4 linked regions of the Nothobranchius furzeri genome follow. The protein of the gene in region 3 interacts with the protein of the main gene of each other region in a biochemical or structural test. Links are inferred from orthologs where the notes say so. Each region holds a gene or a part of one and is shown on either strand. Other genes may lie near its edges. The genes, in order: ncam1b, anosmin-1, fgfr1a and plcg1.

The links.
Region 1: the proteins of fgfr1a (region 3) and ncam1b form a complex in vitro, tested with the Homo sapiens proteins (2 studies listed by BioGRID and IntAct). The link is inferred for Nothobranchius furzeri from reciprocal best matches to the Homo sapiens genes FGFR1 and NCAM1.
Region 2: the proteins of fgfr1a (region 3) and anosmin-1 form a complex in vitro, tested with the Homo sapiens proteins (3 studies listed by BioGRID and IntAct, with this or other methods). The link is inferred for Nothobranchius furzeri from reciprocal best matches to the Homo sapiens genes FGFR1 and ANOS1.
Region 4: the proteins of fgfr1a (region 3) and plcg1 form a complex in vitro, tested with the Homo sapiens proteins (4 studies listed by BioGRID and IntAct, with this or other methods). The link is inferred for Nothobranchius furzeri from reciprocal best matches to the Homo sapiens genes FGFR1 and PLCG1.

What each region holds. Positions count from the first base shown.
Region 1 is NC_091753.1:48,898,508-48,904,220, reverse strand, and holds part of ncam1b (neural cell adhesion molecule 1b), read left to right. Parts: intron 1-598; coding exon 599-797; intron 798-876; coding exon 877-993; intron 994-1,693; coding exon 1,694-2,671; coding exon of another isoform or gene 2,672-2,687; exon of another isoform or gene 2,688-2,689; intron 2,690-5,713.
Region 2 is NC_091754.1:23,437,913-23,445,541, forward strand, and holds part of anosmin-1, read left to right. Parts: intron 1-891; coding exon 892-1,036; intron 1,037-2,075; coding exon 2,076-2,222; intron 2,223-7,629. UniProt on the Homo sapiens protein: Has a dual branch-promoting and guidance activity, which may play an important role in the patterning of mitral and tufted cell collaterals to the olfactory cortex. Chemoattractant for fetal olfactory epithelial cells.
Region 3 is NC_091757.1:34,198,435-34,206,740, forward strand, and holds the start of fgfr1a (fibroblast growth factor receptor 1-A), read left to right. Parts: upstream 1-2,974; 5' UTR 2,975-3,569; intron 3,570-8,306. UniProt on the Homo sapiens protein: Tyrosine-protein kinase that acts as a cell-surface receptor for fibroblast growth factors and plays an essential role in the regulation of embryonic development, cell proliferation, differentiation and migration.
Region 4 is NC_091755.1:60,795,454-60,803,082, forward strand, and holds the end of plcg1 (1-phosphatidylinositol 4,5-bisphosphate phosphodiesterase gamma-1), read left to right. Parts: coding exon 1-154; intron 155-1,127; coding exon 1,128-1,247; intron 1,248-1,756; coding exon 1,757-1,937; intron 1,938-2,098; coding exon 2,099-2,176; intron 2,177-2,258; coding exon 2,259-2,362; intron 2,363-2,557; coding exon 2,558-2,654; intron 2,655-2,733; coding exon 2,734-2,803; intron 2,804-3,844; coding exon 3,845-4,005; intron 4,006-4,221; coding exon 4,222-4,318; intron 4,319-4,429; coding exon 4,430-4,654; intron 4,655-4,738; coding exon 4,739-4,887; intron 4,888-5,487; coding exon 5,488-5,602; intron 5,603-6,365; coding exon 6,366-6,524; intron 6,525-6,613; coding exon 6,614-6,702; intron 6,703-6,941; coding exon 6,942-7,210; intron 7,211-7,292; coding exon 7,293-7,335; 3' UTR 7,336-7,565; downstream 7,566-7,629. UniProt on the Homo sapiens protein: Mediates the production of the second messenger molecules diacylglycerol (DAG) and inositol 1,4,5-trisphosphate (IP3). Plays an important role in the regulation of intracellular signaling cascades.

The sequences.
Region 1 (5,713 bases), on a different chromosome or scaffold from region 3:
TTTTACTGTAATGTCCAGTTGTTAATAATTGAAAAAAGTAGCTTTTAGAATTATTTAGAGCCGACTATTTCTAATTCACCGTTAGCATCGTTAGCTCAACGTTAGCCTCTAGCCTGCTTCACCCGATATTAAAGTACAACACAAAGATGCCGTGGCGTTTTGTCGACCGGTGACAAATTACAAATCCCAGCTCAACGGAGATAGCCGGTGCAGACTTAGCAACCCCTCGAGCTCTCTCATTGTAAACAAAGACTGTGCCCCTCTTTAGCTTTTGTAGGGAGCAACCAGTCTGCCCAACTCCAAACTACTTACGCCAGGTCCAAAGTTTGCTTAAAGGCGCAATCTTTTTCAGTCCAGATTTTCTTTATAAATCATTAAATTTAAGTAAAAAGTCACTTATGCGGTTTTCAGACACAGTCTGCATAAGCAAGCTTTACCTTGGTAAATTATTATTTGATCACATAATTTAACTGAACAACAAATCAGCGCTCTAACATGAATCGCTCTGTAGCAGGTAAGTTTTTCACCGTAGTATTTTATGTGTTTTATAGACGTGTGTTCTGCTCCGGGTCTCTTTAGCTCGTCTCTTGTCTGGCAGATTTGGGTGAAGAGGGAGTGCTCCCCATGGGCACCATGCTGTGGGCGGGGATCCTTGTGGTGGTGTTTGTGCTCCTGCTGCTAGCTGTGGACGTCACATGCTACTTTGTCAACAAATGTGGCCTCATCATGTGCCTCTGTGGCAAATCGGGCACGGGGACGAAGGGACACAACCTGGAGGAGGGAAAAGCAGCTTTTGTGTGAGTCTCAGACACGTAGCCAGTCCACCATTAGCTTACTGGTTCCCTTTTAATCTTCACTGTTGTCTCAATCCTACAGTAAAGATGAGTCCAAAGAGCCGATAGTGGAAGTCAGAACAGAGGACGAGTGCACAGCCAATCACAATGCAGCAGGACCCATAGAACCCAATGAAACGACTCCTCTCACAAAGCCAGAGTGAGTAGAGCAGGAGAAACGGCCCTCGGCCTTTCAACGCTCAAGTGTCCTTAGCTGTTGTACATTGCACTCCACTTGAAGAATCAGTGTTATTTAACCTTTATGAAATCTGAACCTTGTTCGTCTTTAAGTTATCATTCTCGAGTGGAGTCCAAAAAATCCTGTTGCTTTTCTGTTTTTATTCCCCATCAGAGGAATTATTGTACTTTGTGTTTCTTCTTCAGCTTGGAAGATTTTCTGTCTCATTATATGAAGGTTGAAGCAATACCAGTCTAAGACTTTGTTCCTCCTTAGTGTGGTCAATTCACAAAGGCATTTACCAACCACAGCTAGCCCTGCCCCATAAGGAGTGTGTCTGAGGCTGACACTGGTACTGTTTAACCCTTGTAGGTGGTTCTTTGTGGTGCTGTAGTTTCCTGCTGGAAGGCTGGTGCCTTTCGTAGAACATTAGTTGGTGTACTCCATGTTGGTGTGTGTATGGGATGTATCCTTTAATGTTCACTCACAGCATGACGCCCTTTTTCTTTTCTTTTTCTCACTAGGCTTAACAGCTGCTCTTTTTAAGTTGCTTTGTCTCAGTTTGTTTGAGTTTCTGAAGCCAACTAATCCCTCTGCATGCTCTGGTCCGGGCCACCCTTCCTCTGTCACAGTCACCCCGGTGTCTAGTCTGTGTGTCTCTGTTCTCTCCCTGCTCTCTCAGGCTGGTGGCTTCTCTGGCACTGGACACCCCCTCCTCTGTAGCCACCAACTCTGACACAGCCACCGCAACAAACGACCCTGGCCAGGAGAGCCCCTCTAGCGAGACCACTACCCTCACATGCAGCCTGTCCACCCTGGCCAACGAACCCTCACCCACCCCTCTCGCTGCTCCGGCCCCGACCCCAGAGTCTAACGCGGCGCCGCCAGCACCGGTCATCTCCTCCACCGCTGTAGAAGCTAAAATGGCCCCCTTGCTTGAAGAAAGGGGTTATAAAACACAGGAGGAGCAGGAGAAGATAACCCCTCCTCGAACTCCCGAACAGCCTAGACCTCAAAAACCTGGAACGCCGATCCCACCAAAACGCAAACACTCTCCAAAACTAGCAGCTATGAATGCTAAAAACAGCCCCCCAGTTTCCCCCCTTGCTGTGTCTTCTACATCTTCCCCTTCTACTCCAGACATGAAGACACCTGCTCCAAATCCACCTGTCACTAGGCTACCTCCACAACCTAATCCTAACCCAGATTATAACCCTGCTCCTGATTCCTCCTCGCCTAGCTTTGCCGCCTTTGACACAGTCAAACCCACTGAGTCATCGGCTGACAACAACATACCCGCAACAAAACCCGTTAGAGGTGTTCCCTCAGATGATACCGGGGCTGCTGAAGATCCAGATGCTTCCTCGCTGTTACCGATCACTCAGATAGTTTCTGCAGTTTCCGACGAAGTCCCGACGCCAGCGCCAGACCTGTACGACATAACGCCTGCAGACACAGAGCTCAAAAACGCTAATTTAGAGTTGGAGCTGACAAACGGCACAGGAAGACACCCTCGACCCCTCTCAGATCTGATTAGCTTAGAGAGCCCGCCCGCAGACCCCTCCCAGCCCAGTGGAGACGGAACAGACCTCCCCCCCTCAGGCCCAGTTGTGGAGGCTTCAGAGACTCTGGTCAAGACCGCTCCTCCTGTCAACGATGAGTACGGCTCCCTCTAGAGGTTTATCTGTGTGTGTGTGTGTGAGTGTGTGTAATGTGTATGCCCATTCATTCACCACCGCATCTTGCCATTGACCACACGATATCAGCTACTGTAACAGTAAACTGTGGTAATGACATGAGGGGGAACTTTTAGGGGAACGCTCCAGATAGAGGCGATGTGATGGTTGTCATTTTTTTGCTCGTGTGCGACAGTTTTCCATTGTGGGTTCCATTTTCCAGAAACAGTCACATCCAACAAAGACGAGCACCTTTTCAGACATGGAGGTCATGTTTTAAAAGAGGTTTCAATAAACAACTAAAATATAGCTTTTATCTTTATTTGCTTCAGTAGATTATCTGGAAAACCGCTTCTGGTGTTTAACTCAAACCGCTTCAACACTGTAGCGCCGTTTCCAATACAGGAGTTCTGGGAAATTTCTGTTGTGCCTCTTTACAAAGTCGGCCCTTTCATGACTTTGCCAAAATGGCAATAAATCACAACTTGGCGCTGATCAGCACCAAAAGGTGTCCACGGACATTGTAAACATGAATTTAGTCCCTTCAGTGGACCGGGAGAGCACTTGTTGGACGTAGTAAGAAGTGTTCAGTGACCTGAAGAAAAGGCGTTTTTTAACGACGCTCTGTAGAGACCACGAAGCTCCGTAAATGGCGGTTTTATGGGAGGATTTCCGTGGCGTTTTTCGGTTTTGAGAGTTTAGAAACCGATTTTAAACAGTGTTACGTATTGTCTTTTCCTTTCATTCTGCTCGACCATTCGACATTTTCAGTTTTACAAATGCCGGTTGTAAGGTGACGATAAAGTTCCAATCAGCATGAGTTAACCACAAGCACCACCCAGCAACTCTACTGGCCCAGAAAATGGTCCTTTCGGTCCAGCCCGGTGAAATAGAGATACACGCATGCCGCGAAGGTCTGGTAAAGTTCTGATAGTGGCCTCACATCTATGTTCTCAAGCTGTAGTGATGATAGTCACAAACCATTAAGCTTCTGTAGATATTAGGGAAGGTAAGAGCGAGGTGCTTCAGAGGCTGAGAAATTAAAGTTTCTGTTTAGATAAATAAGTTTAAAAAAAAGGTCACAGAAATGACCTTGTAAATAATTAAACACATCTAACTTGTTGTTTTGGGGGGAATTAAAGAGATTTTAGAGCATTTGTGTACAAATAATTACCATATTCCTGAATGACCTCCGTTTAGAGAAATAAAGTTTAAATCTGGCAAGACTGATAAGCTAATGGCTAGTATTAGTGTAGCTAAGGTGGATCACTGCCAAATGTTATTCTACAAACTACCTTCCCTTTTCCACTGCACTGTTATACATTAATGCCAGTGTGTAGGTTTATGAAATATCTGCTTGAACTCCTCTGGTTTACAGTTTTCAACATGGCAGCCATCCACTTGGGGTGATAGGCTAAAATTAATTTGTCCTGCAAATGTTTCATAACAATGTAAATAACCAAGTAATGTAAATGGGCAGCAGTGTAAAGACTCTTCAATCTGACATGTAAATTAGTAGAGCTGCAATGATCCAGTCAGACTAGCCGTTAGCTTATCACTCATGTCAGACGTAAACGTTTCTTTAAACGGAGGCAGTCACGCACTTAGAGACTAACACCAAACAGTTTCCTGCTCCTCCTTCCTCCTGGTTTAAAGTGGAAAAACAACAGATGTTAGGCTGCAGCTATCAAATATTTTTGTAATTGAGTACTCTATCGAATCTTTTATCGATTAATCGAGTACTCTAATAAATTACCCCTTTGTGTTTGTAAACCATTATATCAAATAGCATGTTATAAAATATGAAAGACCTCTGAAAATGTGCAATTGCCAGTTATTCTTCAAGTTTTATTCAAAACACGTAGACACGTATAGTCAATAATTCAGCACTTTAGTGCATCTTAGTTAAAATCTAAATATTCTGCCTAAAACTGTCAGTGATGCACCGTCGTCAGGCAAAAACTCTGCACTGCATTCGAATTTAAATCTGCCATCGCTATTGGCTAAGAGGTACACTATGATGTTAGATGGTACATTATGATGTCACAATGTTGTGAGTTTGTGTATTTGTTAGCGGCTCCGCCCTCTCGGTCTGCTAGGCAACAGCATTTGTTGCATTTTTCAAACAGGAAGTGGGAGTTGAGTAAGAATCTGGTAGGGGGTGACTTGCTCTTTAAGTGCTGTTTCTGGTCTGCAGCTTGCTGTCCCATGTAGAATTAGTAAAGTTTCTACCAACACAATCACTGAACCTCACTTTTAAAGAAATTGGTTAAAAACTGCTGAGTGCCGTTTTATCGACATCACCCTGCAACAGACAGATGCAAAAATTATAAGCTGAATTACAGAAATTAATAGTTCCAATAATACCTAATAAGTGTATCTGAAGCAGATACATCTAAGCTGATGCTTGACTCTTATGAGCAAAAATCAAACCAAACAGAAGAACCTTGATTTCATGTTTTAAATGTCAGACATGTCACTGTGACTATTCTGATTAAAGCCATCAGAGGGCTCTTTTTGTGTGTTCTGTTATTAAAAGCCTCTCTGTGAAGCGGCTGCACCCCCCAGCCTCCTGAGGCAGAGCTGCATCGTGGCTCTTTGCTCGACAGTCAGGTCATGTCTGAGTGAACCTGTAACAGCAGCTAAATAGTAACGTGACACATTCTATGTCTGAAATGTGCTCGTATTGATTAGATGACTCTTTTCCCAGCTGGAAGCCGTAGACCTCATCCAGAAAGTAAACAGGCGGGGGCTTTCTTGCTCTCAGCTGCAGGCAGCTGCTGGAAACGCGTACAAGCTCCGTTCTGTTTTAGTACAGCCAAAGTGATTCAAATATAGTATCTGCTAAACATTTATGGGATGTGGGATATGTCATTATCTGTGTTTTTATTCGACTGTTGTCAAGGTGGTGAAGAAATATGTAAGAAGATGTCTGAACACGGTGTCGTCTTACATATTGGGTAAAGATGTGTTCAGCCAAGCCGTTTGTTTGCTGGGACGTCTCGCCGCGCCGCAGAACTCAACAT
Region 2 (7,629 bases), on a different chromosome or scaffold from region 3:
AACAGAAAACGGTCATAAATGTGTCCCAGGATGAGTGATGCTCACTTAAAAATGAGACCTGTTGGAACTGCATGAAGCCGAGCTGCAACGGGACCAGGGAATTAAATCCTTTTCACATGGCTGCACAATGCCACGGCTGAAGGAAATTCACAGGGAGAGAGCCAACAGGTGAACAAGTGTCAATCATTCCACAACTGTCTGCCTTTAATAACCACGGTAGACCAGGACAGCCACGCAAGCACATTCACAGCCTTGAAGTTGCGTTTATCGATTCAGTTCTCCAGTTTTATTCGTAAAAGCGTGATTAAAAAAAAAGTCTCCGGCAACAAAAGAGCACACGGGTCTCACTGTCTTCGCGGAGCATTTCAACAGAGACTTGAGTAAAAAGACAGATCGCCTAGACATTCATGCACACTGCTGCTGAATTAGTTTTTAAAATGCGTAGCAGATGTGGCACGGAGGAGATAGAGGTGGGAGACACCAGACACTGTTGACACATGTACTACTGGTTTCCACTTTGGCACCTCGGGGCTTTGAAAGCAGCCCGCTGGTTGAGGAATGTCAAAACACACACAGTCAATAAGAGGAACTCATCAGGTTCACGCTGACGGTGGAATGCTGGAAGTCCAGCACGGTGAAGAAGCCCTGGGAGGTTCTGATAACACGGCTCTCTCACAGGAACCCCTGAAGTCCATCGTCTCATCACCATCCCTCCCTCAGCTCCAGATGTGTTCCTAATAAGCTCGGCTTTCCCACAGGCTGAGTCGGAGACACGATCGGTACAGCGGCGGGGCTTTGAAAGGAGTCTCAAGTGACAATGTGGTAACATACGAATGTCAGAATCTTAAGTTTTTTATTTCTTCTTTGTTTTTTGTTTTTTTCATGCTGCAGGCTCAAAGCTGGGTAGATCTGGAGGGACTTCAGCAGAACGGCAGCTACACGGTGGAGCTGCAGGCGGTCACTTACTGGGGACAGGTGCGCCTGAAGAGCTCCAAGGCCTCCCTCCACTTCGGAACCACCCAGGATAACGAATCAGGTAAACGCCTCCTTCAGATCGGTGCTTTACAGCTTTCTGGCTTTTGTCACCTGTATAAATAAGTTTGCATTTTGTGTTATGTCAGGTTTCTAAAATATCCCCAAGCTTCATCGTGCTTTTTTTTTTATCTCGAGGGCTCAGTAAATTTCATCCACTGTCATCAGGTTGTCATTAATTCTCTGCCTTTGATTAGAAGCTACAACAGGAACATTTTCAGTTTTAAAAGAACAAGAATACCAAAAACAAAATAACTTTGCATTTTATAATCTGTCTTTTCTGTAATAGTTTAAAATTCAAGAAACCTGACAATTTGACGACTTTACAATCGGACCTTTTTTTTTCTTCTCAGAGATGAGAGCAAATTATAATAATGCAATTTTATCTGGAAAAGTGTCTCCCTTTTGCCAAAATAATTGCCTCCTCTGACTCACGACCCCGAGACAATGGCTAAAAGATGACATGAAGCAAAGATGGACCTATTAGTGTGACATTGTACAGCACAAGACATCCTAAAAGGACTGAATCATGTTTAGTTGATCATTAAAAAAGGCACAAAAGGCTGATTTTTGTTGCATGCAGAATCATGCACCACAGAAATCTGGATGTAGCTGCAGACCTGCAAATGCAGACCACTACAGTGTAATCCCATCCATTTTTCATTCATCCAGTTTGTGCATTTAGCTTCTCATGAGAGTTGAGTTTCCGACAAATTTTGAAAGGGCAAATAACCATCACAGGCATTTCAGAGAGTTGGGACAGCCAGGGAACGCTGTCAGCACGTCCGCAGCGAGCCTCGGAGAAACAAGAGCGTGTTTTTTTTGTTGTATGTGTGACTCTAGAGGGAATTGAACCTCCGACCTTTACTGTGCTGTATGTTTGCCCGCTGAGCTACAGCACATTCATGCATACAGAACGGACCTTCCTTTGAGCTGTCTGCTGATCTTTCACAGAAAGAATCAAGTCCGTTTCCGTGCCGGAGAGTGTGTCGTAACCCCGTTGTGTCTTAGCCACAGCAAACGTTTCTCCTTTCTCTTCTCAGCAAAAGTGGTGCTCAAGTCAAAGAAGGGTAAGATATCCCCTCTCGGTTCGAACTTGGCCAAACGCCCCTCCGGCCCTCTTGAAGTGGGCACGCCTTTCTACCAGGACAGTCAGCTGCAGGTCCGCGTCTACTGGAAGAAACGAGGAGGTAAGCGCTCTGCTTTTCAGCTTTGTCTGATTTGAATTAGCACCCCGTTATGCCCATCAATCACTATGACTCATGCACCATAATAAGATGTTATGACTAATTCCCACTTGCTTAAACAATGGCGGACTCCTCTTCTAAATGTGGTGTCAGATGATGTAAATAAAGCAATGGGTCTTCGTGAGGGCTTGGTAATGTGAGCTCTTGGCAGTGCGGTTAAAACCTGCACATGGCCCGGTAGAGAGGAGCCACCGTTTAGCAGAGAACAATAAACACACGCAACTCAGCTGCGCTTGATAGATCTTTGCATTAGCACCAAAGCGGCCCTTCGGTTGAACAAGGCTGATGTCATAGGGAGTAGACGTGATGGTGGGTTGCAGCGCCACATGGGGTTAAAGACCATGCCATGTCGCAGCAGCAGCCATTCCCCAAAAACGTGCTGCTCATACCAGAGTGAAAAATGGAAACCGTGGTCTCGGGGTAGCCTGTCAAGTTCCATTCGCTGGTCTGTGTTACGTTAGAAGTATATGTCATCGCCCAAGCCAAACTCCACATCCTGGAGTCAAGAATGCAATCCCTGGATTGAGAAGCCTGGTGAGACACCAACTGCTGAATCAGAGAGAGGAGAGCACAGAGGGGGATGGAGTTGGCGCAGAGCTGTTGGCAAGTTTGGCCTGAACGCCGTGAGCTGAGTGATGCTGACAAGGATCAAGCGTGGCTGGGGAATCACTGTGTTGCAGAGCAGAGTTAATCCAGGTCCTGCTTCATTTTCGGCCTCTCGTATTGTGGTCCTGTTCTTTGGCGTATCTGCCACAGCCTCTCATTAGTCTGAGGGATGGCCTTGCTTTAGCTAATGTAAACATACAGACACGCAGATGGCCCAGAGAGCTGGAGTCTCTGGACATCTGGTTTGTGTGACTGAGAGAGGGGACAGGTTAACTGAACCATGATTAAACTCTCACTCATTGTGTCTGTGATCCAAAGCAGCCTGGCCTCTGGATTTTGTCCAGCAGACAAAAGAGAACGATATTGTACACCAGCGCTGATAATGTATCTTTGTCTGTCTAGTGCTCTGACAATACACAGCAGCTTGGCGGCGGTGCGACTTGTGAAGCTCGCCTCTAGTCATGATTTATCGAACGCTGCCGAGGTTGTGTTCCCCACCTGATTTCCATGTCCTTTTTCATGTTTTACATAGCACTTCCCCTCTCCGTCAGACCCGGCTTAGCCTATCTTGTTTTTTTTTTTTCCAGTTTCCCGGTTCCCTGTAATTCCTCTCTTCTGCTTCCAATGAGCTCAAGGGCTTCAAGTGCCAGATCTGTGTCTCAGCCTTCAAAGAACCCCTTTTATCTCCCCACCACAAGCCCGGCTCCCGCTGAGGGGTGAACATAGCACAATTCAATTATTAATCAGAGGCGTATTTCAAAAAAATCCAAGGAACACAGCTGAATTAATTATAAATCTTGTAAGACAAGAGGAGGGCGATGGGCAGATAAACACTGTGGGGGAGTTTGTGAGGAGCTACTGTACAAAAATAAAGGTTGCAGCTGAGATGACCATCCCACACATGGTCAACTTTTCTGTTACTCGTGAGAATTGGGAGGCTTTTCTTTATGGAATTTGATGTTCAATGACAAAAGAAACGGTTTAGGACTCAGGAAAATGTTAATAAGTTCATATAAATACAGAGAATGTATTACTCAGTTTACATTGCATTACATTTCTCTGAGTATGGCACGTTGTTCATTGCTCCGATTGATCCTAGAGCTGACTTCAAGAGACGCGTGCAGAGGCAGTTTGAAAGACAACCGTAGATTTCAATGGCTTGTGGCCAGACCAGGAACTTTGCCCAGAAGAATGGTCTGCTTTACATGGATATACAGAAACTTCTCCACAACAACCACAAAAGACTCCCAAGGGGGCAATACACGGTGTTAGGAACTGGGGCGTGTAAACTTTTCATCAGGGAATTTCTGGTATTTTATTGTGTTATGGTGATTTGAAATGAGTTTGTACATTTTTTTCACAATAAATTGCTTTGCAACATTCCTGACCATGAGTAAAAAAAAAAATCATATTCTTTGAGAAATGGACAAAAAATAAATAAACCAATAACCTCACCAGGGTATCGGCTCAAATGTATTTACGTATGAAGGATGGCTTGTCGGGCTAACCAATGTCCCCAACCAAAAGAAGTAGGCCAAGTAAATAGCAGAGGTGTGACCAAGTCACTGCTTTGCAAGTCATAAGTAAGTCACAAGTCTTTCCAGTCAAGTCTTGAGTCAAGTTCAAGTCAAAGACAATCAAGTCCAAGTCGAGACCAAAGTCAGTGATGTGGAAGTCCAAGTCAAGTCCAAGTAATTAACTTTGAATTTTCAAGTCATAATCAAGTCATCTGTTCAACTTCAGTTTTATGACGATGATAATAAGTGAATTCTAGAAATAAAGCCTCTTAAAGCTTCATTTATTTTAACAAACAGAATGATTAACAAGCAGAATGTGCAACAGAAACTGATTATAAACAAAGTGCTGCTGCATTTAGCAGTAAATCAAACCCAGAACAAATAATGATTTATGATTTTTGTCCATGTCGGGCCACTTTTGTGCTAAAATATCAAATATGCTCAAGTCATCATTAAGTCCACAAATGCAAGTCGATTCAATTCACATGTCACTGGCGTTCAAGTCTGAGTCAAGTCGTAAGTCTTTATAGATTTTATCAAGTCAAGTCAGAAGTCATAAAAATAATGACTCGAGTCTGACTCATGTCTAAATCGTGTAACTCGAGTCCACACCTCTGGAAAGTAGGCAACCAAAGTAGGCTTTGGAACACTGAATCCGTAAGGATCACGTTCCAGGCCTTCAGTACTCAATAGAGAAGGTTCAGTTTACAACAAAATAAGTAACGCATTAACTGATGGCTGTTTCCTGACCTGAAAAGCCCTTCGCTGCCAGCGTTTGAGTGTTTTTAATGTTTTTTGAAGAGCCACAGAACGTTGTGCTCTATGATGATGTCAATGCTAAAACTACCAAAACAAAGAGGAGACTCACCTTACGTCAGGAAGAATTCGTGTTTTTAGTGTGATCCGTTCTTTCATAATCCGTTGTTGAATTGTGATCGGCAGAAGTTTTCCGGTTTGCTCCTCACTTTTTTTACAGCAGCGGCCCAAAACGATCTCCTAACACATGGATTTTCTGCTTCCTGATCACATGTGACATAGATGGATGAAGATCAGCTTTAGAGCTGTGATGTTTATTCTCATGGTGCAGGGGCTCGTTCCGACGCCCGCCCAGGGAAAAAAATGCAAATGGCGACTTTAGTGTCACTCTGTGAAAGCACGAGGGACTGCTCTCGATATAAATTGAGGTTATTAAACGTGTTGGATTGTCTTCGTCTGATTTTTAAGGCCAAACGAGTGTGGAGCGTTACATGTAGCCAATCAGAATGCAAGGTAATCGAAATACAGTACACCGTACGCTCCTTCTCCATCATGTTTTTACTTAGGTGTTGATCATGTTTAATCTCAAGAGGTTTTGTGAGATTTCTGACCAGGTTTGTGTGTGTAGAGTGATTTTTATTGTGACATGTGTGGCCTCTCATGCTTTGAAAATCATCTGACAATTTTAAAATCCTGCCGTGTAAAGGAGATCACCAGACTAACAAAGCGTTTGATCTCTAGAGTCAGCAGAAACGTGCCAATGAGCCAAGCACGATGACTTGGAGAGCTGCATAAACCTGAATGTGTTTTGTGTTGAGTCTCAAAAACGGTGTTGACGTTAAGGTTTACAAAACGATGTTTGCATAAACCACTATGAGGGTTGCACTGTTTTTAGATGGCAGTAGTGCCTCATTCTGGCCACTCAGACAGGTTCACAGGATGTTGTTAGGTCCTCCTGAACAGAGGGAGTCTGGACACTGTTCTTTGGGGGTGGACTGGAGAAAGACAGAGACGTTTCTGCAGCAGTCACTTACACGAGTCTCAGCAGAACATGGAGGGAATAAATGTGTCTTTAGACTTAACGACAAGTCTTGGACTTATATTGTTCCCTAAACAGTAATAAATCCTAATGCAACAACATCAGCACTCCCATCTCAGATGCTCAGTCATCAAGAGTCAGACTGTGTCTGGATCCCAGAGCAGATGATCTCTTCTTCTACAGCCTCTCCGAAATGGTGACTCTCCTCTACACAGCCCAGACTATGTTCACTCCGCTCTGAGCTCGACTTTGTATTTGTGTTTCTTTTCTTTAGCCCCTTTAAGTGCTGAGTTCTGTGAAGTCTACTCCAGGTTTAGTGAGTTTATCAATAAATCTATTGATTAAAGAGCAAGTCACCCCCAAACCAACTTTTTTTGCTGATAAACGACATGAACGAGTGTCTAATCGTGCTGCAGACATGTGTAGTCAATCATTTGGAGCTTCAGTGCATTTTAGTTAAATTTTAAATATTCTGCCTAAAACTGGCAGTGTTGCGCCGTCGTCAGGTAAAAACTCTGCACTGTATTTGAATTTAAATCTGCCACCGCTATTGGCTAAGAGGTATGCTATGATGTAAACTGGTACGTTATGATGTCACAATGCCATTGTTAGCCTGTGTGTTTGTGTATTTGTTAGCAGCTCCGCCCTCTCGGTAGGCGCCCTCTCCGCCTCTGCCAGGCAACAGTATTTGTTGCAATTTTTCAAACATTAAGTGGGAGTGAAGTCTCTTGTAGGGGGTGACTTGCTCTTTAACATTTAACCATTTTTTTTCGCTGCGTTACATATTCCATTCGTGTGTGGGACCTCTTGCAGAGGTTCCATCTGGAGGCACTGATGATGCAAACAAACGTTTTCTTCAAACACCAATGAGATCAAGGCCTGCAAGATGCAAGGCCAAGCTTGAGAGGCAAAAAGAGCTGCTTGGGAAAGATGTAGGGGTTAGCTTAAGGAAGGCCCTGCAGAAAGCTGAGGCCAAACTCGTGAACTTGAAAGCCACTAATCTGACCAAAGAGATGCAAAGAAATCCTTGGAGGAAACCTCTGCTCCTCAAAGAAGGGCTGGCTTTCACATTCAGATGGTAAAACCCAGAAGCAGTAGAGTGAGAGGACCCTGCTGACGCCACACAAACGATGACAAAAGAAGCACCTGAACGTACCTGAACATCTGAAGCAGACACACCCAAGAGTGTGTGTGTTTCTACAACCAGGAGGCAATAGTTTGAACTTTATATCATGCAAAACTGACTTGACCTGCAGCAGATAAAAAGCTGTTTTCTGGTCTTCCTGGTGCTTTTGGACCACGAGGGAGTTTCCCTTCTCATTCGTTTTCATACATTGGCCATTTGCAGTCCCTATAAATATATTTATCTGGCTTTTTTAGTGTTTGCATCAGCTCTAGGTGCCTTATTGGAATAGATAGGGAGGCTCAAAGG
Region 3 (8,306 bases):
AAATCAAACCACCAAATAGTTCCCGAACGCAGATAATGCTGCAGCTCACCGCTCCCCATGGGGATGGGTCAGATGTGGAGATGTAACTTCACCAGTCTGTGTTGACGACTAATGGGACTTTATATCAGGAAATAAAACTCCAAATCCTGCCGTCTGAAGCTGTGGCTCACTTCTACTTCCTGAAACTAGTGTACAGATGTTTTTCCCCAGAGAACGGCATTCGTTTCTACTAGAGACCACTGCAAATGTACTGATTAAACAAGTGTTCAACACCATTAAGAAAAGATGACGGATAAATTGCAGACATTTGAGTGAATGATGTGCACGACCCTTAGCTGTTACCACACCAAACTGTAGCTCAATATCTGTAAAACTGACTCAGCTGTGTCTATTTCAAGATTCCAAGACTGACTAAGATTAGTCAACTAGATGTAGATGTACATCCAATCACTTTTACCTCTGTCAGGAAATAACAAAACAAAAATAAATATTTAATAAAGTAGTAAAACTGCACAAGTTTGGTTTTGCAGCCAGCTGTTGACCGACAGAGTTTAATAACCCAACAAGTAACTAGTCTCACTGTTCATCTTGCTAAGTAACATGCAAATGCTAAATAAATTTCTCTCTGAGGGATATTCATTTCATCACAAGCCTCTACTCTACGGTATTGCTGAGATGCTTTATTCCCACTAAGCAGCCAGGCTTTCTTCTAATATTTTAAAGTGCTCTTTAAGTTTCATCAGGCCTTCTGAGGGGTTTTCACATAGGTCTTCTGGTCACTTTCAGCTGAGTATCCGACCATTTTCAGAGTAGTAATCTGTTTGTTTGACCACCGTTCTCTCAGCTATGAATTGTTCAGGCATCATAAGGTTGAATCTGTATGACATTACCACGTGACAAACAAGGGATCACGTTTAAAGTGATTTTTAGGTACTTTGTCATTAGCAGTCTGCCACAAAGACAGAAATGGTTTTATTCTTTTCACTGAATAAATAAAAAATACCAAAGACAGCATTGTTTCATGGTTATTTCCAAAAGATTTTTTGGGCCTAATCTTGATGACGGATCATCAGATCTTATTCTAAGTCTTTATATCTCTGGTAACACTCCTGTTGAGGTGCTTTTCTGTTGTCTTTTCAAACCATCATCAGAAGTTTGTTTAGTGGGCTGAGCTACATCCATCCTGTAACGTCATCATCCGCTTGGCTGATAGGGGATCGAGGCGGCGGGGCTCTGGTTAAAAACCAATATAACAGCAATAAAACAATGTTTGCTTTAAGTAGAAGTCAGGGAGTAAAATGGCACAACTGTAATAAAACAAAGTAAAGCAAACATTAAAAGCAAGTTGAAGTCTGCGTGCAACCCAACACTACCTAAGCATTTCATGGAGGATGAACGGCTAACACATGTCGAAACACAAATCAGTTAGTTATGCCATTCTTTAATCAAACTACAAAGCTGGGCTTTATGTGTCCCTGCAGCTTCAGCTGTCAGTCATTTGTCAACTATGACTGCAAATCAACTCTCCAGATATGAACTATGTGTTTGATCTGTCACAGCAAACTTTACATTTGTGCTGTGCTGGCTGACACACTTGAAATGCTAATGCTCTTTGAAATTCTGCCAAATCTTTATGTCTGAACATTAAAGCGCTTTTAATAGCTGCTTTGAACAGGAAGCTGATGAAAGAGCTTATTTACTTTGAGAAAATAAATATTTTAGTTTGCTGAAATCTTGCAAATGTGAATTAAGAAAATTTTGTCCATGACAGCATTAGCACAGATTTGTGAGAATTACTTGAAATGCTCATTTATAGAAATGTTTGTTTTGTTGCATGAAAACTAATCTCCTAAATTACATGTTGTGTGCTTTGAAAATCCATGTGTGTTTTATTGTTATCAATATTAGTCAATAGTCCGGGTTAGTTTCATATATAAGTGTATGTAAATCAGTACTGTTCTGATTTTGTTTTTCCCTCTTAAAACGGTACTTCCTAGTTATGGTCCTGGTGTGTGTGTGTGTGTGTGTGTGTGTGTGTGTGTGTGCGCGCGTGCGCGTGTGTGCGTGTGTGCGTGCGTGCGTTGTCCCTGTACTAGTGGTTCGCTGCTGGAGAGGCGCCGTGGATGGCAGGGGGAGCCAGGTTCCTTCAAAGCGCAGCAGACATCGTCAATTTATAAATGTGACACCTGAAGAAGGACGGAAAATAAGCTGTTTACCTTTCAAATTAAAACCTTCAGAGACGCTCATTAAAATGATGACATAAAGGAAAATATTTCAAGCTGGATTATTTTATAAACTTTTAGAATGTGGAACATAATATCCTCACACAAGCTGACATTTATTAAAGACATTGCTTGTTTTTGAACATGTTTTAGTTCTATTTAAGTTCGTTCGATCATCCCACATAACCATAATCCAGAAATAGAAATTTAGTTTTTAAAATTTGGTTTAACTTTACAATCGTGATTCTGCATGTAAAAACGTTCACATAGTAGATATGATACTGCTAGTGTGAATTATGGACTAGGAAAATGTCTGACATTTTGCCACCTTCCACAGTGATGCTTTCATGAGCTGAAGGGGAAAATCTGATTTCTTTTGCTTGTTTCAGGCTGGCTGATCACAGATTACGCAATCATATTTAATATTGACAGATTTTGATAACAAGCTATTTTTTGGCACATCTATAATTATACTCTTCAGGTTTTTTTTCTATCTTTATTGATGAAGAGGTAAAAGTACTTATTAACTTTAAGACAAAGCAACTACATTGTGGGATACGTGAAATAAAAATAAAATAATTTAGTTGAATAATAATAAAAATAATAATAATAATAATAATTCTTATAATTATTATTTATTTATATAGGCTTTTATTTTGTAGTGGTAAAGCGGAAGCTGTGCGTGTAACGTCTGCCGCGTAGCCTGAAGTCTGGAGAGAATGTTCACGCTCAGATTTTAGAGGGGGAGGTTTGCAGCTGTCTGGACTCGCGTTGTGGAAACAGCGTTTCTCCGCCAGGAATGGTCAAAACATTTCCCCAAGAGCAATTTAACAACGAACTTTTAATCAGTTTTTCATTGTGCTGTTTTCCTCTTCGGTTATTCTGTTTGACTGAGTTTAAGAACTTGATGGTAACAGTTTGGTAACTGTGGACCGTAGTTTTCATCTCGTGTGAGACGTGATAAAGAGATTACCGCAAACCAACGCACAAGCTCGCTTTTTCGGACCTGACTAGCTTAGGTAAGATGCAGTAAAGTCGTCCAGGTGGAACTCAAAGGAAAAGGTAGAAGTACGTATATGCCGAACACGTATCGACGTTTTACATCTCTTTTTTTCCCCCTTGGCTCGACATTCTTTTTTTGTATGAAAAGTTGCCGAAAATGCGCAAACTGGTTAGCTAACCGCGGAGAGCTCGGCGCGTGCGAGCTTCGTTAACGGGCCACACATTTAACCTCAGCGGATTCCCAGTTTGTCCTTTTTTCTGGATCTTTTCCTGCATCCAGTCTCCTCTCTGGACCCTGCCTAGTCTGACCCAACACTGGCTGTTTCACAGCTCCCCGCCACTAAGGTGAGCTACTAATTTTATTCCGTCACTTTTTAATTTTTGCTTCATTTACATGTTTGTTTACAAGTTTAAGGGGTTAGCCATTGTCATGTTAGTGAGTTTTATATAAGGAGTTCGTTTTTTTAAAAAGGTGCAAAAAAAGTTGTGTCCCTTAAAGTTGACAAATTATTTAATAAAATTCTGTCTTTCGATTGCAAGATGTTTATGACCGACAATGTGTTTTTGTTCAACAAGTTTATTTTTTCTTCCCTTTGAGAAATCAGAGCTTCATGTGTATAAGATTAGAACCTCCCCCATGCTCGTAAATGAAAGGGTAAGATTTAAGCAGAAGAAAAGTGTTGCCCCCAGTCCTGTTCTTTGTTAAAGCTGCCTTTTAAAAGCAAAACTGGATAGCTCCCCACATCAAGGAAAATGTCTCGAAAGCACATGACGCCATTTTCCTCTTTAATGTACTCATTTAAATTCATGCATACACACACCTTTTCTGTGTGCTTTTGTTTACACAATTACAGTCAAATGTGTCTGAAACATTTACTTTCCAGCTCCAGACAGACTAAATAATGTTGAGTCCTCACTTAACCCAGTAACATGGAAAGGCTTGTCTGATGTCCTGTAAAATAAAAAATGTTGTGCTATGAAGGGAGAGAGGGTGAAGGTGGGTGGTTAAGAAAAGGACCATATAGGGAGAAAAAGTTTTTAGTTTTCCTAAACCATAATGACAAGTGGAAGAACGTTTTGCCCTTTTAATTTACCCGACTGCTCCCGTAGCATTTGAGCTCTTTGCTTTGATTTATATAGTGTTCAAACATTAAGCAATCCATCTATTCCTACAGAATAGTGATGCACCGTTATGAAAATTTTGGGCCGATAGATATCCAATATTAAGATCACTCTTATGGCCAATAACCAATATAGTGGCATTAGTGCTTCTAAAATCAGCAGATTTTGTATAGAATGAAAATTATTAAAGCTGAATTTACATAATGTACACACAATGCACACATTGATGGTTCTGAGATGATTTAATTCACTGTTCACATGACTAAACAATTACACATCACCCCCTTCACCCTCTGAAACAGGCAAACAAATGGAAACAAGATGGAAAAAATATCGGTTGTTAATATTGGCCCGGTTTTATTTATCGGGCCGATATTGATGCCGATATATTGTCCAGCCCTACTACTAGGGTTGTCACGGTGTGAAAATTTAACCTCACGGTTATTGTGACCAAAATTATCACGTTTTCGGTATTATCGCTGTATTTTTTTTAAAGATGTTACATTTTCAGACAACTAAATGAACCCTGTATATCAGGAAAATATTGTCCTCAGTTTGTCTAAATTTTGCTTAATATTTGTTATTTTGTAATTATGTTGTTTATTTGTTTATATTTTTCCCCTCTAGTCTTTAAAATACCAATATTTGCCCATAACTTCTTATTTTTTGTCTGTTTGATGTCATTATTTTAAAAATAGATCAGATGATACTCAGTACTCAAGTAGCCTTCTAATACTTTTTTTACCCTTACTTGAGTAATAAACCCTATACCAGGAAAATATTGTCCTCGGTTTGTGTCCTTCCAGTGAGCTTTGCAGATGTGGGAAAATGTCATCAGGCAGTAATCATTGTTAAATTCATAATGATTCCCGGAGAGAGACCAACTCTTATCTGCCCCTGGGAGCCCCGTAATGCATAGCGTCATTTCAACATGGGGGTGTCCGTGTTGCAGGTATCGGGCCGGCACAATCCCCACTAACAGCTTAAATATAAATTACTGAGGGAACGTCCGGGTGCCAGTTGAGCTATTTGCCTGTGAGGCTAGACTATGGGCATAAAACGTTAACGGCTATGTACGTCCAATTAACTCTATAACTGAACCTTTAGCATAAGCTATCAACCATCACTACATTTATAAACTCATGGCGCACCTCATATAGGTGGATTTGTATGCTTGGGTGCACTTTACTAACCTGAAATGCAAAAAAAAAGAGACAGAGACATCAGAATGGAGTGGTTTCTGTGAACTGCTGCTCCCGAATAACGGTAGATGGGACACAGCGCTCCACTAGCCGTCTCGCATCCCCCCCCGCCACCTTGTGGAGAACCTCGGTATTGCACCCCACACTTTCCTATTCTTATTTTATTACTTTTACTAAATTACACCACTAAATACTTTAACAAAATTATGTGACCACACTTTGTGGGCGTCACACTCGCGACACGGTTTATATGCAGGTAGCGGCGCTGCGGCTGCTTTATATAGCGACTCATTGCATTCTCCCTCAACCCAAACCCTCGGATCACGCATTTTAGCTAAAACGCTAACGTTAACTTGCCTTGCGTTGACTGTAGAGTTGTGGGTGATGGTCACTTAGATGTGTCATGAGATTTGAAGCGTTGCTGCCTTTCACAGACACTTTTTCTGCACGTGCTGCAAACAGGATAGACGTCTTCTATCAACTGTCCCTCGGCATTCATCAAATATCCCAAAAATGCCCGTACTTCCCACATTGTCTTCTTTGAGGGATAATAAATGTCCTGAGCGCTGTCGTCTCCTCCTTTGGCCATTATTTCAGCTTTAGCTTCAGGAAAGTTTTGGTTGTAAACAACAAAGTGTGCATGTGCCGCCGGCAACTTCAGCAGATGATACGGTGGCTGGTAAGGGTCACCGTAAGGGTCACCGCGCCTACACCGCAGCCACGGTAATCCACCGAGATAATATATTTTCGTCAACCTTTTTATCGGGGTTTACCACTACACTGGTTACCATGACAACCCTACCTACTACAGAAGTGTAGTTATACAAGCACCTGAATAATTTAGGATGTTACTTATGTTGCAACATTTTAGGCAGATTTTAAATGTTACTTTTCTTGTTTGTAGACTGAACGGTCTCATCTACAGAGCGGTACATAGTGTGCTGAAAATGATTCTTTGCATTTCAGTACCTGACAACTGATATCCTGCTTTTAATGCTGCTGTAGAACCACCTTTTCAGACTTTGTGACTGTGAGGAAGGGAAGAAGTCAGAGGTGTCTGTTTTTGTGAAAACAGTAGCCTCAGGGAGATGGTCTGATGATCTTGTGGCTACTGAACTGCTACCATGTGCAGACTGGTGCTGGTGACAAGAATGGACCAAAGTGGAAAGGGTGGATAAACGGTGGTACATAATCAGGGAGCTGAGGAATTTTATGCATGGATGGCAGTGAACAGTGATTATGGTGTGGGCCGTGTTATGGGTTTAGGTCTGTAACCTTTGTCTTTGTACAATGAGAGAAGCTAAATGTGTCGTGCATGTTCTAATCAGTTTGGTATAACCTTTTATTTGTTAGTTTGGCAGATCACCAGTGAAACACTTTTATTTTTTTTAGAGCATTAGTTGGGATTCTTATCAGACATTTAATTGTGTCCCTCATTTGTTAAATCAGTAAAACCAGTAGCAAGGAAATAGGAGTTGGTGTTATTCTGGCTTTATTTTTTAAATTAACGCTGAAAAAAACTTCACATTTAGAATCAGATGTTTGGCAGCTGAAAGGAAAGAATTAAGTTAAGTTTTTATTAGAGGAAGGACTGGTTGTAGTTTATTGGGTTCTTTTAGTCTGGATAATTTAGGTTGTTGATCCAATTAATTAGAGTCTAAAATTAAAACATGCTCATTTTACCCAGCTAATGGGTGTGTATGTGCAGTCTACTTTCAATGGCTTAAAATACAAAAAAGTACTTTATGATTGGTCTAATTAGCACAAAGTTGTATCTTGAAACATATAATTGGGACAAAAATTTACCCATGCTCAAGGCTGACACGTTTTTGATTATCTCACAAAATCAATACTTTGTGTGTGTGTGTGTGTGTGCGCGCGTGCGTGCGTGCGTGCGCAAGAAATGACTCAAAACCCTGTTTTACTCATGCTCCTGTAGGAGAGAGAAATAAAAACACCCTGTCACACACTTAAAAACAAAATCCTTTCTCTTTCAAATCCTGATGTGGTGATGGCTCGTGAGGGGCTGGTCCACTACTCTTTGCGGTTGTGTGACAGCTAAAGCATTTTCCCAAACATTGACTCATAGCTTACTGAGCAGAGATGACCAAGCTTCTTTATCCCCCTTGGATCCCCCTTGACCCGCCTTAGCTGTTCTTGGAAAGTGAAATTGAATTGGTTTTGATGAGAACACGACTGTTTCAGAGAGGAACATTCATAAAAGTGATTACCTCCTAAAGGAAATCACAGCTGTGTCTGTGCAGTACTTTATGTCAATCAGGATCGGGTTTTCTTAACCTAGAGATGACCCTGTTGTTGTTTTTTGTACAGCATTGACCGCATTTTTTAATTTGTTTTTCCTCCATTCACGAGCCATGTATTCCTAGGCTTGAGTTTCTTAGAAGTCTCATGGGGACAGATGGTTGTGGGGGGTTATTTGGGTTTAGGAAATAAAACCAACTGTTAGGTGATGGATCTCCAAGTGTGAAAATGTTGGCCTCTGTTGGTGTCCCATAACAGCCTTGAGTTTTTGGCTAAAACAAATTCTTAAAGGCATAGGATTGTGATATGCCAGTTGTGGCCAAGTGTTAATCTCAGTGGCCAGATGCTCCTGAATAATGACTCAAACAGATGTATTTTTTTTTCATGCCAACATGGATCGTAAACCTATACAGTGGTTAATAAAAAAATCCAGAATTTCTGTAGTCATTTAAATGTTCAAATAAGAGCAAGATTGTATTTTTGTTGTTTTATCACA
Region 4 (7,629 bases), on a different chromosome or scaffold from region 3:
CTGGCAGCGCCAAGTTCTTCCTGACCGACAACCTGGTGTTCGATTCGCTCTACGCCCTCATCACTCACTACCAGCAGGTGGCGCTGCGCTGCAACGAGTTTGAGATGAAGCTGACCGAGCCGGTGCCTCAGACCAACGCTCATGAGAGCAGGGAGTGAGTCTCTTGGAGCTTTTACTATCGATGACCTGTGATTCACTCTGATCCAGCTCAGCTCTATCCAAGAACGAGACTGTTTGTGACTTGCTGGTGAAAAAGTCTCTACAATTACAGAAGTACTTGAACCTCTGTAATTGGTGGTCTGCCTGAGTACAGCACCCTGTAATTTACCAGTTCAGACATTCTGTCTTGTGGAAATTTTTCTTTAGCACAGGATCGGTATGAAGGCAGGTGAGTTCCTCATCACAGCTGAGACATTAAGTCCTTAGTGCTGGAAACGCTGACGCTCAGCAGCTTTATTACCAGTGTGTGAATGTTGGTAAAACTGAATTATTTCATGTCCAAGTAGAATCTATTCATAAAGGCGCTTTTGTTTGTCACAAGTCTCGACATGAAGAGACCAGAGCGCACCACAAACCACAGCTCCATGTTTTTCTGGATTTTTTGGCCTTTAATTGGAGAATCTAAAATGCTGCACAGTAGTTTTTGTAAAGAGTTTTATATCTGAATGAAAACCATTGGAATCTGAAACACAAACACAGTGGTTTGTTCAGTCGCTGTTGTTGTGGCGAAGTAATGAGGTAATAATTGTCCCCGTGAAACACATCATCAGTGAGCATCTGTGTACAAAAACTCAAATCTCGAGGATTTTTTCAATCAAAATCTTTCCATTATTAAATTAATTGTTTTGGTCCTTGTTGTAACACTAGTTGGGTTTTTTGGTCGTCTCTTTATTGTGCATTTAATATTTGTTAGGATTTTGTTTGTTTTGTCTCTAATTTTGTCCACACTGTAAAATGTCCCGCTGCCATCATGTCCATGTCCATCATTCCTGATCAGCTACGATTTCCAAAGCTGTTCTAGATTAAAACTTCATTTTATTTATTTATTTATTATTCATCTTTAACATTTATTTAGGTGGCTGAGGAAAAAAATGTATTTCCTACTTTTCCTTTATGCTTTTTTATAGGTGGTACCACGCAAACCTGTCTAGGAGCCAGGCTGAGAACATGCTGATGAGGGTTCCTCGTGACGGAGCTTTCCTCGTCAGGAAGAGATCTGAACCCAACTCCTTTGCCATTTCCTTCAGGTAACTAATAACTGCTTCATTTGGTGATCATGTGTAATTTTATGTCATTTAAATCTAAATTTCTTATACCGTATTTTCCGGCGTATAAGTCGCTCCATCCATAAAATGTATAATGAAGAAGAAAAAAACATATAAGTCACACTGGACTATAAGTTGCATTTTGGGGGGAAATTTTATTATTTTTCTTACAAAATCTGAGACCAAGCATTTCACATTGCAAGACGAGTACTGGTAAAGATAACAGAATAAACAATCAGGGCGCAGCAGCACGCCATGGTCTCCAGCAGAGGATGGTGGTGTTTGAAACCCTCCCAGCGGGGCAGAGGAGCTGAAACCTGGACTGGAGCCGGCCCGCAGCAGCGGGGTATACATAATTTGGTATATAAGTCGCAGGACCAGCCAGACTATGAATAAAAGTGCGACTTATAGTCCGGAAAATACGGTAGTTGGAAAAATCTTAGAGATTGCCGTAGCTCATGATGAGTCTTTCGTTGCGATCATGTTTACAGGGCGGAGGGGAAGATCAAGCACTGTCGAGTGCTGCAGGAAGGCCAGTCTGTGATGCTGGGGAACTCGGAGTTTGACAGCCTTGTAGATCTGATTAGTTACTATGAAAAGCATCCTCTGTATCGTAAAATGAAACTGCGCTACCCCATCAATGAGGACACACTGGAGAAGATAGGCACTGCTGTGAGTTTCCCGTTCTATTGTCAACACTGTTGACCAAATGTAATAAACAAACATGAAATCTCAGGAACAGAAATCACGACTTATCCACTAGTTTCCTCAATTAAAGAGGCAGTCAGGGTAGAAAAAACGAACCTGTTAACAGCCAGGATATTGTTCAACAGGAGCCAGATTACGGTGCGCTGTACGAGGGCAGGAATCCAGGCTTTTACGTTGAGGCCAACCAAATGCCAGTTTTTAGGGTGAGCTTGCAGAACACACTCACTGAACCGTGCATATCGATCACGAATGTTGACATCCAAATCTTATATCTGTACATTTCAGACCACAGCTAAAGCCAAATACGAGTATAGAGCTCAGAGAGATGACGAGCTCTCCTTCACCAAGAACGCCATCATCTCCAATATAGACAAGCAGGAAGGAGGATGGTGAGTGAGCTGCGGAGGAAGTCAAGTCTCCATTTGGATTTATTACATTAGTCCAGTAGAGAAAGATGGATAAGGAGTAGATTACACACCAGTCAATAGCATTACATTTATGTGAACATTTATTTGTTTTTTTATAAGATGCAGTGTATAGAAAGCTAAATCTCATTATTAACCCATTATCCTAATTTCCCTCAGGTGGAAAGGTGACTATAGAGACAAGAAGCAGTTGTGGTTTCCTGCAAACTACGTGGAGGAGATCGTTAGTCCGACAGCTGCTGAGCCTGACAGAAATGTGCGGTTGTCATTCTCTAGATAGAATTTAACAAGAGAAACCAAATCTTTAGTCATCTTTTTACTTGATTGTTAAACAGGAGACAACAGAGCTCAGCCCCCTTGGAGATCTGCTGAGAGGAAGTTTGGATCTGGCATCCTGCTCAGTTGGTGAGTTTTCTCTCTACTTCCTGCCGAGCTTTGCTGCAAGGCTGCAGAGCAACCTGCAACCTTCCCAGAGGGCCCGCCAGTGCAGACAGACAGTTACACAAACCGTTCCTAAACTGCAGAAAGATCCAGCAACCGTTTCCATTATGGTCTATGATAAATCCTTGATTTGTTTTGATTGTTGCTGTTTTGTTACGAGTCTGCTTCTGATACTTCACCAACATCCTCCAGCCCAGCGTGTACACATGTTCCTGTCAGACACTGAGTCATTCTGCTGGATGTCAGAAACACTTAATTCAGCTTAAAACTTAAAAACTCACAAAGTATATACAACAGAATTAACGAGCTTTTACAGTATATGTACTCAACTAAAACTGATCATAGATTTAAAAACAGGGAGAGTATTAAAATCTAATTTTTTTTATCTTATTGTTTGAACTTTAAAACTGCAATTTATCATTTAATTTATACAACACAATACATAAAAATCATTCAGATAATTTCTACAAAAATAAAGTGCCTGATTCATATAAAAATGGAGGGAAATGGGGATACAGGACAGGTTTAACAGTTAATTTATATTTAATCTAAAAATGGGCTTAATTGATCATTTGAATATTTCCTTGTCAGCTGCTGTTCTACAGATGGGAGGGGATTCACAAACCACCCCAAATATAAAAGAAGCTGGCAGGTTTAGCTTAAATGACTGGAAACTGGAAAAGGTGCAAATAAACTAGCAAACAGCTTGAAGTTGGAAAACTTTAATTCAAGCAGTAATATCAAAACAACTCTGAATCCTGAGCCATAATTTAGGTCACATTTTTTGACTTCATGCATTGTTGATTGGGCAAATAGCACCATCTAGTGGCTGCAGGATATAAGAACGATTCTCTTGTAGACTTCATAACATTTATTTAAATTTTTCCTTTTGATATGGAAACAGCTGCGTTTGTTTACATTTTTAAAAGTATTATACTTGCATCAGTTTAGTTAATTGCACAACAAAGAACGGAGCGTTCTAACGGATATTTTTCTTAACTCCAGTTGTACGTAATGAAGGCAGGGGTAGCAGGCCTCACGTCTTCACCCTGGTGCCCAACAACCCTTCAGTCGGCCCGGTGCTGGACTTGGCTACCAACAGCTTGGAAGAACTAAAGGAATGGATTTATGGGATACGTGAAGCTACTGTGTTTACAGAGGCCAAGGTAAATGTGTACAAGCACTCGTGCTGTTTTAAAGCCAGATTTTACTCATGAATTTTATTTAGAAATCAGTGACAGAGCTGTGTGCACATATGATGTTTTATGGTGTTACCTCCGTCAGTTCTGCACATCCAGCACTGGTCCATCTTGTGTGGTTTACTAGCATCACCGGGTGTCTGTTGTGTATCTGACTTGTTTACGTTGTATTTCTGGGTCCAGATTGAAGAAGGGAAGTTGATGGAGAGAAAGCACAAAATAGCGATGGAGTTATCAGACCTAGTCATCTACTGTAGGCCCGTGCAGTTTGATGAAGACAGTAAGCATGGCGCTGCTCTATGATAAATCTTCCATTAGATTTGTTTTCACCAAACCCAATGGGTGAAACATTCAAGTGGGGTAATCTGTCTTTTGTTTTCATTGTGTCCAGAGATTGGCACAGAGCAGGCCTGCTTCCGGGACATGTCGTCTTTCCCCGAGACCAAGGCAGAAAAGTACATCAACAAATGCAAAGGCAAGAAGTTCCTGCAGTACAACCGCCTGCAGCTGTCACGGATCTATCCCCGGGGCCAACGGCTGGACTCCTCCAACTATGACCCGTTACCCATGTGGCTCTGCGGGTCCCAGCTGGTCGCACTTAACTTCCAAACAGCAGGTAGGTAGCTCCTTCTCACAACAAAATACGCTGCGCAGACTAGAGCTTTCATCATTTTTACATTCGCATTTTACCTCTGTGCAGACAAGCCCATGCAGATGAACCAGGCCTTGTTCATGGTGAACGGACGGAGCGGCTATGTCCTTCAGCCACCTATCATGAGGGACGATGTCTTTGATCCCTTTGACAAAACCACACTACGAGGCATTGATAAAGTGGACCTTGTGATTGAGGTACAGTAGAAGGTTGGATCACGTGACATGACAGCATGAGGCAAGGGCTTCTGATGATACTGGATTCAGTTTCTCTCCATTAAATGTTACCAGCTTACTGATTTTAAAGTATTCTTCTCCTAATTTAAGAGAATCAGTATCTTGTTTCCTCCTTTAGTGCATTCAAACAAAATCTAGAAATTGAACCCTTTTACAGTTACTTCTCGCAATATAAAAACATTATTCATCATCTGAGCAAAGAGCTGAAAGGGAGCACCAAAACATCTCCTAGTGCACCATTTAGGTTTGAGTCTTGGACACGTAGGTCGGCTCGGGACAATGCAAATATTTAATCGCATTGCAGTGATGTAAAACCTCCATGACTGCAGCAAAAGTGTGGGGAAAATGCATAAAATTAATGTCAGTTCTGCAGAAATTCACAGGCTACAACAGCTAAATGTGTTGGTCTGATGGGTTATTTCCTAAACAATAATTGTGATTTAGACCCAGTCTAAACTGGGTTGTGGTCAGCGTGTCAGTGCGCCAAAACCAGTAACTACATATTTACTAAGGAGCTTAATTTTCATGTGTTATTGTTTATTCCTCTGTTTTCTCCTGAAGGTCCTGGGTGCACGTCACCTGCCGAAGCACGGCCGAGGCATCGTTAGTCCTCTCGTTGAGATAGAAATTTGTGGGACAGATTATGACAGTACCAAAGTAAAAACTAACTCAGAAGGTAAGACCAACTTGAATTTGAACTCTTCTGTGCTCCTAAAAAGCATTCCACTTTAAAACTGTACAAATATTTTTGTTTACTGAATTCATTACGCCTGTGTCACTTCCTAGCCGCTGCTGGAAAACAGGAAGTTGCACAAACAATTAGGAAGTCTGGGAAAACGAGGCAAAACATTTCTCAATGATGTAATTGTAGCTCATCAGGTTTTAGCTGGAAACAAAACCTTGTGGCTCTTTTGTTTATTTTAGTTCATGGTAGATTTTGTTTTGGCATCAAGCTCGCTGACGATCATCTTTGCTCTCCAGAAATGACGAAGCTTCTGCTCCTGTTCATGGTGTTGCCGATTAACTCGACTGTCTCCAGTAAATAGCCAGCCTTTCTTCTCTGATGCTCTTTGATCTTCAGCTTCGTTTCTCTCCAGGGTTTTTGTTTTTCCTGTTTTCTTGAGAGGTCGTCGCAGTGTTTGCTGCCACGTGCAACTTGGTTTCATAGGAATACTAGAATGTTAATAACATTGACGGGCAGAATATTTCACAAATCATCACATTTTCCCCAGAAACCTCCTGCCAGGTGTGACTGTAGTGAGAAAATCCACGTCTGTCTTCATTTTACAGCTGACTGATGTAACTTAGTCAGATGTATCTTTTGTAGTGTCTGGCACAAACCGCAGCAAGCCCAGATGAAGTGGGTCATTACAGATTCACGGTTTGTTTTTGGGTGTAATGTTCAAACAGAATGTGACTTTTTGTTGTTTGTTCTCTAGCTGATAATGGACTGAACCCTACATGGCAGACAAAGTTTGAATTCAGTTTATTAAACTCCGCCTTTGCGTTCCTGCGTTTTGTGGTCTATGAGATCGACATGTTCAGTGACCAAAACTTCCTGGCTCAGGCCTCGTTCCCCATTCAAGGCCTCAGGACAGGTACGTGTTAAAGCAACTCATACGTTTGCTTGTTTCTGGAAAAATAAATGCTTTCTTTAATGAGTTTGAACCTGTCTGTGTTTTGCCAGGGTACCGCTCCGTACCGCTGAAGAACAGCTACAGCGAGGATCTGGAGCTGGCTTCTCTGTTGGTCCATGTGGACATTAGCAAAACCAGGGTGGGTTACGACTCCAGACTGAGCGGAGCTGCTCTTCCACTGACGTGCAGTTATTAGCACTTTAAACGCACACACACAAACCCATCCAGTCTTTTTGAGCATGGTCACATTTCATCATCAACCCAGAAAGCGTTTCTGAAGGATGACACTAGTTTAGAACATGTGAGAAGTTTTCAGGCGTTAGAAACAAAGGAGTTAAAGCGGTCAGCCTCATTAATCACGTTGGGTTTCCTGTTCAGGGTGAAAATGGTGAACTCCTGAGCCCGCTGTTTGCTGCCAGTCCCACAGCAGTACCAGCCTCAGCCCAAGTAGGACGAGATCGTTTTGGGGAGCTGAGCTCTGTGTCCTCCTCTCCCTCCACCATGTCCCCTCTGCCTCAGTCACCCCCCCAGGCCTCAGCCTACAGAGTGATGGATGGCCCTTTGGACACCCGCTACCAGGCCTCCATAGATGACTTCAGGGTGAGCCAAGAGTCTCTGTTGGACCACATGGACCCACAGAACAGACGGTGAGTGTGGAGACTTTACGCTTGTCCAGTTATGGGGGTGTACAACATTCACGGCGTCCTCTTGTCTTTGTCCTCTCTTTAGGAACTTGCGGAGGACCAAAGTGGGCGTAGAGAACCGCGTCTAAGTCCAAGCCAATCAGGACTCGCCCCCCCACCCAATCCTTCCCTCACCCAGCAGCCTCTCCACGTACTGATGATGTCACTGACTGCTGTGATCACTGTTTCCATGGAAACGCACACCACTGCTTTGGCCTACATTCGAGGCAGCTCTTTTCCTCCCACCCCTCCCTCCCCTACTCTGATGAGACTGAGGGTCTTGGATACAGGAGGGGTGGGGGACAGAGAGGAAGCTAATGGCTGTAGACAGGAAGAAGAAACGGTGTGGACAGGAAAACAAAAGGCTCTGGGCCTGGACGGTG